Drosophila melanogaster: one gene and its partners. The protein of the gene in region 3 purifies or fractionates together with the protein of the main gene of each other region. This does not show direct contact. Each region holds a gene or a part of one and is shown on either strand. Other genes may lie near its edges. The genes, in order: Chd64, Df31 and Fkbp12.

Evidence for each region.
Region 1: the proteins of Fkbp12 (region 3) and Chd64 purify together in Drosophila melanogaster (affinity purification with mass spectrometry, with the first as the bait; one large-scale study listed by BioGRID). This does not show direct contact.
Region 2: the proteins of Fkbp12 (region 3) and Df31 purify together in Drosophila melanogaster (affinity purification with mass spectrometry, with the first as the bait; one large-scale study listed by BioGRID). This does not show direct contact.

What each region holds. Positions count from the first base shown.
Region 1 is NT_037436.4:4,120,270-4,124,027, forward strand, and holds the start of Chd64 (Chd64), read right to left. Parts: upstream 2,120-3,758; 5' UTR 1,941-2,119; coding exon 1,887-1,940; intron 1-1,886.
Region 2 is NT_033779.5:21,627,917-21,631,674, forward strand, and holds the start of Df31 (decondensation factor 31), read right to left. Parts: upstream 2,017-3,758; 5' UTR 1,777-2,016; coding exon 1,751-1,776; intron 1,061-1,750; exon of another isoform or gene 735-1,060; intron 671-734; exon of another isoform or gene 546-670; intron 294-545; coding exon 1-293.
Region 3 is NT_033778.4:19,288,187-19,291,554, reverse strand, and holds Fkbp12 (FK506-binding protein 12kD), read right to left. Parts: upstream 1,447-3,368; 5' UTR 1,367-1,446; coding exon 1,330-1,366; intron 1,170-1,329; coding exon 1,099-1,169; intron 1,038-1,098; coding exon 819-1,037; 3' UTR 593-818; downstream 1-592. Other genes in the region: mip40 (Myb-interacting protein 40), read left to right, coding at 1-261; AANATL4 (arylalkylamine N-acetyltransferase-like 4), read right to left, coding at 1,755-2,429; AANATL6 (arylalkylamine N-acetyltransferase-like 6), read right to left, coding at 2,904-3,368. UniProt on the Drosophila melanogaster protein: PPIases accelerate the folding of proteins. It catalyzes the cis-trans isomerization of proline imidic peptide bonds in oligopeptides.

The DNA of each region.
Region 1 (3,758 bases), on a different chromosome or scaffold from region 3:
GAGTAACTTGAGACCTTTCTGCCTCATTCCTAGAACTTTCCCGACAGCTGGTGCTACGATCCCAGGAAAGGGTTGAAAATAAAGGGGCTACGAATTCCCTGGCCGAAACTTGAGATCCATGCCAATTTGTCGGTGACTGGTCGTAAAAGTCGGAAAAAGCACACACGCAAGCACGGAGTGTAGAGAACCCATGAGACAAACAAAAATATTGCTTTCATACCTTTTTGCCTCACTTTTGTTTTGCTGTTTGCTTACGCCACATACTCAGTTTTAAGTGCTCATGTGGTGGAAAAGGTGCTGCTATCGCCTCTACCTCCTGTCACCCCCAAAAACTCAAAACCCGAACCCGAATCCCCCTCAGAAGATATGAGTGACTCCCAGCGAGCGGCAAAAGTGCTCAAACTAACAACGCCTTCGAGTTGAATGGATCGCGAAGGGATCGAGGAGCACCAGTGGAGGGACAGCTGAAGGAATGACATCATCGCCTTCGGCTCCTGGGGAGCCATTCGATCGCGGCTTGGAGTCGCGCCAGCAGCTGCGCCTCCAGGCACTCGCCTCTATTTCTCTTATTTTTCTATACCCTATGCCAAGGTTCTTCCTATTCCAAGTACCAAAATGTTTTAGCTTAACATGATATGGCATAAATAAACACTACAGAGTTCTCATAATATTTTTCATAACCATAGTGCCTGATATATCACCATAAACCACGTTAAAACATACTTCATACTGTGTTTTAAAACATACTGTGTTTTAAAAATGCGCTAGTACAGATAATACCGATAAACAAGGCCTTTTGCCAAATGGCTGACTCAAGAGAATGAAATCCGGGTGGAAATACTTTTAGATAAGCAAAGCTAAAGCAAAACAAAATATTTCAGTTTGTCAACAACTTGGTAAAGTGCTCCTCAAGGGTATACAAAACTTCGGATATGAAAAATCTCGATTATTTGTTTCGTTTTTTGTTTGGGCAATGCTGTAACTGTAGTTGTCTTGTTGTGGATTTCGTCGGACTGCACTTAATCCCCTGTGCCGGCGACATATACAATTTCACTTGGGGCTGCCCAGGGGCGGTTGGAATTGCGTAACCCCGACTTGACGAGGGCCAAATGGCCGAAGGGTACGGGTAACCCATCCCCAACCCCATCCCACCCACAAAAGCCCGATGCATTTGTATGAGTGCATTTGAGGCAAAGTGCTGCTAATGGACGGAACTAATGTCAATTTACATTGCGGAAGCTACCATGCTGCAATAGTTGGGTTGAGATCATCCAAAGGGTCTTCCTTCTACAGTGGATACTCCACAAGTAGCACCTATGTATTCAGACTTGCTTTTATTGCAGCACAATTAATTAGGATTATATTAGCTCATCTTTATAATGTATACTGTTCGAACTTGGGATATTATTCATATCGAAATTTCCAGAGCTTTACTAACTACTACTAATTGTTTGATTTATGGATAACCAACTGTTTTCTCGATCTTCGATTTGAATCACCCGCACTGACAATGCCTCAAAATCACCTAAATCATCTTCAAGCTTTCGAATTACGCATGCATTACACATGTGTGTACATGCATGTATATATTCCTATATACATATGTATGTACATAAATACTTGTTCGACTTATCAGCGAAATGAGGTCATTCCTTGTTAGACGCTGGCAATTTCAAGACCATTTTTGGCTAATTTTTGGCATTTGGCGCGCGAAGATAAAATCTTGACAACGCAGCGCCAAATAAAGTCAATGCAGCTCTAAACTCACGCACACACCCGTGCAAAAGTTGATTTTTTTTTGGGCAATTTGTTTATTGTGTTGTTTTGTTTGGCGCTCTTCGGTTTTTGGGTGGGGGGTGCGGTTGTTGTTGCTATTTGGTACTTACTTTGCGCTGGGCCTCGGCGGCAAAACCAGACTTCGCTGCACGGTTGGACGCCATAGTTATTTGATGAAGAAACGGGTTTGCAGGGAGCTAAAATGTAGGTTGGTCTTGGGCTGAACTGCACCACTGTCCACTGGAATGTGTTTGCCGCGGAATAAATCGGAGGGAGCGCAAGGGTTAAGGCCAAGTTGGTTGGGCTACGTCCGTTCGCAACGAAAACTTACTACGTTATGAAAGGCGGTCCGAGCTGCGAAACAGAGGAAAGCTCGCCAACAGTTTAGTGTTGTAAAGCACACTCAGTCTTGTACCTAGTAGGTTGGGTACAACATAAAAGCTCCAAGCTGCGCTTATCAGCGGCAGCTGATTTGTTATGATGGCATTGATGATGTCATACCGCTTTGTTAACGGCAGTTGTTTTTCAAATAATAAAACATGGAACTATCGAGCACTGGAAACAATTTTACACTATATAAGTATAAATTTAAAATTTCTGGTTCATTTGCCTTCTAAACCAGTAACTTTTGTTTTCAATAGGTTTTGAAAAGATAATGAATCTGAATCAGTATGATTTCCATGATCCACCTGTTGCTTTACTTTTAATAGAAGTCAACCACTATTAGTGCTACTTTTTGCGGTTGTGTACAAACTATCCGATAAGATTCGCCAGAGTAAAGTTCCATTGAAAACTTCCTATGTTCCCCCTTATCGAGAGGTTCTTGCAGCAGCATTCCATTCAGATGACCATGACATTTTTGGGGGACTTTCTGGAAACCAAGAAGTAGCGAATCGCATTTGGATGATTGCCTTGAGAATTAGTTACAGTTTATTCACATAAATATATATTTTGTTTAATCGTATAAATTATGCAATTGTGGATTTACGATAAGAAGCGAATTTCTTTAGTGTTTCAGTGTGGTTCTAAATAAATAGGGGAATTGCTTGTATAATTTGTTGTTCTATTTGTCGTGTTTGTTTTTTTTTTTTTATGTGTGGGTTGTGATATATTTAATATTAGAAATACATAATTCAGCTTGATCTTCAAAGGTTTGTTATGTTGGTAGCATACACATTTAACTTATGTGGGCTTGTCTTTTGTTTTGATTATATCGCCATTTGGTTTATAACATAGGAAAGCAGTAATTAACTAGAAGTTAGGGCTTATTAGTTGCATACACATATTGCCATTATAATATATTATTCTATTAACGGTTTTCGCATGCGAATAATATGCCTGCTATATCTGTTTTTATAACCGATCTGCATACATCGATCATGCATCCTACTAATTGTTAAGGCCCTTTCGCTCAGATACAAGTGGGTAGTGTGTGATTTTCGTATTATATATAAATCGATTCATTTTTTACAATCTGTTATGCATGCTTCGAGGGGGACGACTCTTTAAAAAATAATCATCATAATTTATTTTTGCACATGGATAAATACAAATTACAAATATAAATGTGTATATGTATATATAAAAAATCATTTACCAAAAAATATATACGTAGACGCAAAAGAGACGCAATAATATACAGAGAACATTCCTATAATAAAGGGTGACATAAGCATAATCAGATTTGGGACTCCTACTACAAATAGTACAACATGGTAGAACTACCAGTTCCACTAGACCTAGGCATGTGTATATCAAGCACTGACATCTGTGATTACAGTGGGTGTATATATCCGCGTGTAATTGTTTTATTGTTTACAGGCTACCTATGTATCTGCTCGACTAGCTGCGAACAGTATCAGCAAATAATTTCAATTGAATTTCCTTATTTCCTCCTCTTTCCTATGTTTTTTTTTTTTCGTTTGTTTCGTTTTGTTTAAATAAATAATACCTCACGATTCGTTGGCTCAACGTATTAAACT
Region 2 (3,758 bases), on a different chromosome or scaffold from region 3:
TGGTGTCCTCCCCATCGGCAGCGGAATCCTCTTTTTTATCCTCGTCCTTCTTCTCATCCTTATCGGCGGCAAAAGAAACAGTGGGCTCAGACGCCTTTTCACCATCGACTGCGTCGGTGGGCTCGGTCGCGCTGCTGTCGGCGGCTCCGTTCTCCTTGGCTACGCTCTCCTCTTCGGCGCCACCGTTTTCTGTGATGCTCGCCTTCTCAGCTGCTACCTCCTCGGCGGCAACTGCATCTTTCTTCACAGCATCAACTTCCTCAGCTGCGACCTTCTCGACAACAGGGGTCTCACTGTGGGTGATAATCAGAGACGAAAGTCAGTATGCACTTATAATTTTTTCCGAAGGTGGCCGAACTGAACTTCGTATGCATAGCATTCTACTACATACAAAACTCTAAACAGTAAATCAATTAAAAATTATCAAAAACTAAAACTATTAATTATTAATTAATTAAATATTAATTGAATTTAAAAAAAAAAAAGAAAAATTTCAATATAGCGCCGGTAGGTAACGTTTATGTTTTCATCCTCCACTTTCTATTCATAAGAGCCCCAGGACGTTCGGAATTAAAACTAAAAAAAAAGTGCATTGTTACATCTGCCGGCGTTTTTCAAAAATGGGATCAACAACTCGTGCAAGCTGCGACGCAAAAGGAAGCGCGAAAAGGTGAGTGCGATTAGGCGGCACGCTCTTTTTCATATAAATGGCATATATTCATTTGTTATTTCAGTGCTCTCTACCAACAGATGAGAACAGGGTAGAACCAAAAACACGCTTGCAGACGTGCAAAATGAAAAGCGAGACCCGTTTAAACTAAAACGAACAAAGATAGAAATAAAAACCAGTTTTAATGGGATTAATGACAATATAGTCGTTTCTCTCGCACTCATCTACCAACAGATACTCGCCATCTGAGGTAGATAGAATTCTATAGGGCGAACAAAAAGAGAGTTGCAAAGTAGCAACGCTAAACGACAAAAATAACGGTCCAAACGATACAAACAGTAGCATAACGTCATACAACCTGCGTCTTTCAAAGAAAACCGGAACAGCCTTAGGCATGAGTTTTGTTTTGTTATGTATTATAAGCTGCAACATATAATAACTACTTAAAAAAAATATATACATAAGTGTTCATCGATAGGGAAAGAGGGAGTATTTTTGGTAATGCCAATATAGATATGCGTGAAAATTTATACTGTTAATTTCAAGCTTCGAGCTTTAAGCTATCAAATGGGTATAAAAGGCAAGCCTCGAAATTTGATGTCTGGTGAGAAACGCAGCAAAGCAACATACGAGGTAGCACAGACAGATGAAATGAAACAGCACAAGAAAAGAGCGGCAACTTGAATGCTGCACACGCATACACACACACATGTCTATAGACTTTTGCGCATTTGGCCTGTCGTCCGCATACACTCAACGCATTACTCCGCCGCTACACACACACACACAAATAATTCATCGTTGCTGTTTGCCGGCCGGAGAAAGAGCGAGAAGGCACCATGACGCCGCGCCAAATTAAACGGCGTCGGTTTTTGCGCGCACACCGTTTTGCCTTTGGCGGGAACGAGACAACTACATTAGTGCCAACAAGCGGTTTGCGTATATAGACACAGAATTCAAAAGAAAATTTCCAAATCTTTTCGGCAAATAACATAGATTTTCATTAGCAAAATTCGCTACAAGTCCATTGCTTAAACAAAATCCACAAACGTCCGAAAACAAGGCAAGCAAAGTACTCACTTCTTTTGCTCAGCCACATCAGCCATTTTGAATTACTGTTAGATATTACTTTTCAAACGCGAAGCGAGAAAACACGTTGTAACTGAGGGTTTTTGGATCACCAAGCACGCCTTAAATATCAGCACAAAGATTTTAAAAGAACGAAATTTTATCAATATAGTTTCCTCTTTAGTAGCTTTGCTAAGAAAGTAGCTTGGTTGCTGGAGATTTTGCCGTACAATTAAGAACGTCCACACAGTCACAAAGAAAAACGCCGAATGAGAGAGCGGTGAGCGTCGGACCGGCTTTTAAAGCGCCGCCCTGTAGTGTTGGTAGACGTCGGTAGTCCGCTTGCGATAGTTCCGCCTCCGGAAAACATATCTTTGTTTGTTATCGTTATCACCCGTTCTCTATTTAATTCGGAGTTAGCTTATGCTGATAGATTTTTACAATTTTATTTTAATATATTAAAGAGATGAAATATAGCAGTGACAAATATTTCAAAATAACGGTCCCCTAAAAAGGGCTGCCACCTTTTAACTATTATTTAGCGGCTACACAAATATAGCAGGTAAAATATTCAAATGCATTCCTATCCTTGTTTTTCTCATTGACCTGAGTGATTTTTCGTGTAATACACCTTCCCAATTCTAAGTTTTTTTTTTGATCCGGTACTCCTAAAAATTAAATAAACAAACACACAAACATGTATGTTCATATATATATATATACACATATCGTCATTTTTAAAAAATTCAAGCTTTTTATTAAATTACATCAATCAATTTCCTTGTAAATTACACAGTCTACAAGATCTTAAAAATAATATCTTAAAGATATGTCATATGTATGTAATCAAACACATAAAACCGACGGAAATAATCCTCACCCCTCTGAAAACATTTTCAGGTAGTCAGATATGCACGCATAAGTACGTACATACATACATATGTATAGTGGCCTTGTCTGCGTCCCTTGATCGGTATAATAGAAAAAAGAATTAGAGTGCGCTACCAGGCAGCTGGTAAATTTTCTGCTTCACTAAAATTTTACAATATTTTAGGCTATTGGCAAGGAAAACAATACACTAGGACTGAGATTCCATTGCCGAAGAACATAGACGCTATTATACATACATATAATTACAAGTTTTCAATTTTCATAAGTCAACATTTAATTTTAGGTCTCATGCTAAACTCCACTTATTGATCTATATTGATTGACGATCAATCCTCGGTCTCGAGCTTTTTTAATATGGACTTTGGGCTGTAAAATTTTAATGGGCTTTTGCAAAGACACTAGAATAATCTAGTGTCTTTGGCTTTTGGAGTGAAGTGCATTCGCTCTTGGATACAAGCGCTATTAGATTTTTAAGATTTTATTTATTGAAATTCAAACTTTTGCTTTCGAGCTTGTGAGTGTCGGCTTGGAACGTGAAAACATGCTGATTTAATAAAATTGGACAACGGATGTTTGCTTTACAGGTGGGTGATTTGTTTCGGGTTTTCGATTTCATCGTCTGTAAAATTTTGGGTTTATTCCATTTAGCCTTGCTTTGGGGTTGTTTCTTGTTTCTAAAATATAATTATAGGAACGAGGCATTCGTTTGTATTGAAAAGTCTTTACTTCATATAGAACCAAACATGGTTTAAAGATTGCCGTCAAGGAAAGTATGACTTCCGAAATCCGAAGGGCATCTCCCAAAATTTCGAGAATTAGCTTTTGAAACTTTCGACACGATATTCTAAGGCGATATATCGACCAATAATTAAAGAAAACAGATTTTTCCGCGACGCAGGAAATTGGGCACTACTGGTCTAAGGTTAATATTCTCAACCATTTTGAAATCCCCTTGAACGCACAAAAAAGATTGAATTCAAATCAGTTATGCTCTAATGTCTAAGTTCGCAGCAAAGAATTATATACGTAGATAAGCACGTACATATCAATGAAGATACCTATATTCTTGAACAGAACAAAATTATATTTTCATCACAAAAGATGATTTCAGAGCAGTAAAGGTGTCATC
Region 3 (3,368 bases):
AGCGGCGAGATAAAGGTGATCAACCAGCTCCCGCAGGCCAAGTCCACGGATCTGCCCATAATTCCGCCTCGTCTGGAGTTCAGCCAGGAGGACAAGAAGCGGGAAAAGGCTCTCCAAGGTGCCAGTACCTCCGATCTTCTGTCCTCCAATATGAACCGCTGGAAGAAAGTGCGCGGACACTGGATAAAGCATATCAAGAAGTATGAAAAGGAGCGATATGAAGTTATTGACAAGATTATGAGCTTGGTCTGCAAAAACTGAAGCGTATCTAGGTGATTTTGGAAGTGGTATAGAAAATGAAAAATAATTTGGATTAATTGTGCACAAAGAATTAAAAAAAATCCTGTTTCCAAATCGAATATATATGCAAATAAGATGCTTGTACACTTTATATACTTATATAAAATAAAATCAAATTTGTCAAGTAGACCACTTCAAGTCTATCAAGAGAATGATAAAGCGTTTTTATATTTGCATATTTTCCTGATTAAAAAATAATATGAAATGCATTTGTATTGCAGCACGGAAAGGCAACCGCAGCTGATTTGATTGGATTATCCCAAGATTTTTGATAAGAAAGACATTTGTCATTGACTTGAATAAATGTTTATTTGTATTGGTAGAAGATGCGTTCCCTTTGCGGTTAAATTAGTTCTAGTTTAGAGCTGTGTATGAAGTTATCATTATTATTTTGGGTTGGCAAATGCTGCTGGATTGTTCTGGTTCCGATTATGATGTTCTTCGGCTCGTCGCCGGTGCGCCGGTCCGCAACCCCCTGCGATTTGGTTTGGGGTATACACATTGGGCATCCTGTGCGCCTATTCGACCTTGAGCAGCTCGACGTCGAAGGTGAGGGTGGAGTTGGGCGGAATGACGCCGGGGTGGCCACGGCTACCGTAGGCATAGTCCGGCGAGCAAATCAGCTTGGCGCGCTGGCCGACGCTCAACTGGGCAACTCCCTCATCCCAGCCACGGATGACCTCGCCCTTGCCGATGGTGAACTTGAATGGCTTGTTGCGGTCGCGCGACGAATCGAACTGCGTGGAATTCAAGGCGGATCATTAGCTGGGGATGGCGAGGATCGGGATTCGTACTCACCTTGGTGCCATCGTCCAGGGTGCCGGTGTAGTGGACCGTGACCTTTTGGCCATTCTTGGGATAGGTGCTGCCTGCGGGCGGGGAATGCAAAAATGGATGTGTGTGAGCGGGACGACCATATTGTCGCAGGTATTTCCGAATTGTGCATTGCGAAAATGCACTAAATAGGTTAGAAAGGCCGGTAGTTTACGGCATTTCTTGCGGATTCTAACCCAATCATTGGATACTCACCATCACCAGGAGCAATTGGAACTACTTGTACGCCCATTTCGATTAGTTTTTTTCTGGCAAATTACCGAGCGGAAAATAAGCACGTTGATTTCAGTTCGTCGCGTCGCCGAATGACAGCTAGCGGTGGGCGATGGTCGGTGAGCGGAAACTATCGCACACATCAATTTGATTAATTATCAAAACCAATTGCTTTCCGAGTTATCGATAAGGACGTTTTTGTATTTTGGCGCGTCCGTTTGAATTGTTTACTATGAACCGAAAGAATAAAGCAGTGCAAGATCTTGCCTCTTATCTTAAAGTCCGAGACACATTGGTCATTGGTCAACTTGTATAGGTCCCCCAAAAGTGTGCTAAGTATTAAATAAACATAACTATAGTTATATAATTTATTTAAATTCCTCGACTCAGTTATTTGTTATCAACTGTCACAGTTTGATTGCCATCACTCGCAGCTTTGTGTGTGGGGCTGCCGGTGTGAAGATCACTCGTCCTTCATCGTCCTTATAGTCGGCGTAGTCGATGGAATAGATGCACTCCATGCCCAAGGCCCCCTTCTGGCGAGCGGAGTAGAAGCTAGTGCAGAAGGCCATCATAAGGGGGAAACCATTCGATCGGCCCAGCTCCATCAGGGTGGCGGCCAGGCGGGAGCCCAGGCCCTTGCCCCTCTTCCACGAGGCCACGCTGGTCACGTGGGAGTAGAGCGCCTTCGGGATGTCGTAGCGCTCAAACAGATTGACTTCGCGCTTGGCCTTCATTAGTAAATGATACATTCGACCCCAAGCGTTATCCTCCACATTCTCGAGCTTCAAATTCAATGTTCCTGCATTCACATTATCGGGATAACTGGCACATGCCAGAACTAGACCCACAATCCGGCCACCATCGTTTTCATCCAGTGCCAAAAGGCTGGTGCCCTCGGCGATTATCGACTGGTTGAAGGCGTCGTTGATCTCCTCGTTCTGCTGGTGAACGGGTTCGCCGCTGGACTGGCACAGAGGCTCCGATGTGTAGTACTCAGCCTCCATATAGGCTTTTACCTGTGCATAATCCTCTGGGCGCATGATGCGTATCGTGACGCCATCTATTGTCGTGGGAGTCATCGCGATCCGGAGCTAATTCGTTCTATATGCTTTTCTTAAGACAGAAGAGGACGCCGATGTGTACATGGCTTTTATACTTCGGCGCTTATCACTGATAATGGCTTATCATATTTATAGATTGTTTCTGTTTGGCGAAGAGAAAGTTGTTTCCAACGGCTTTTGGTTTTATTTTTAATGAAGTGCCAGACTGACTTATCCTTTTAGTAATAAACATTTTTCGAATATGGTTTTCTGACCCAAAATCTTTGAGGATAAATACATCGAGTGGAAAGTGATTACTTAATATCAGATTTTGTAATTATTGCAAGGTCATGTGTCGATAAATACATAATCAACACAATATCTGAACAATAAAGTAGACCGTTCTACATTTTATTACTTTATTTGATCCATATGGACTTGCGTTTCCAGCTCGACGACCTTTATCAATTGCCAAGGCCAAAGTAATAATTAATTAATAAATTATTTTAATTTTTACATTTTTGAGGCCAAGACCCGAATGTGGGTATGGGGCGCTGGTGGATTATATATCGGCCGACCCAACTCGTCCTTGTAGTCAGCATAGGCCACCGAATGGATGCACTCACATCCCGCTTTCATCGCCGACCGGGAGGAGTAGTGATTGGTTCCGCTGGTGATGAACAGAGTGTGTCCCCGCAGGCGACCCAATTTAAAGAGACATTTGGAAAGTATGACCAAGATACCTCTTTGCCTCATTGAGGGGTGAACGGAGATGACCAGCAGACTCAGGTAGGAGGAGACTCCGAAGCGTTCGAAAATGTTGGCTTCGCGCTCCACTTTGGCTATAAATTTCCTGCTGCGACCCAAAGCATTTGGCTCCATTTCCTCGGCTTCCTTGTGCTGCTTGGCCATTTCGATGGGATCCATCGTCTCCGCCACGGCAATGCCAACCAGTAGTCCCCCGTTGTTATCGTCCAG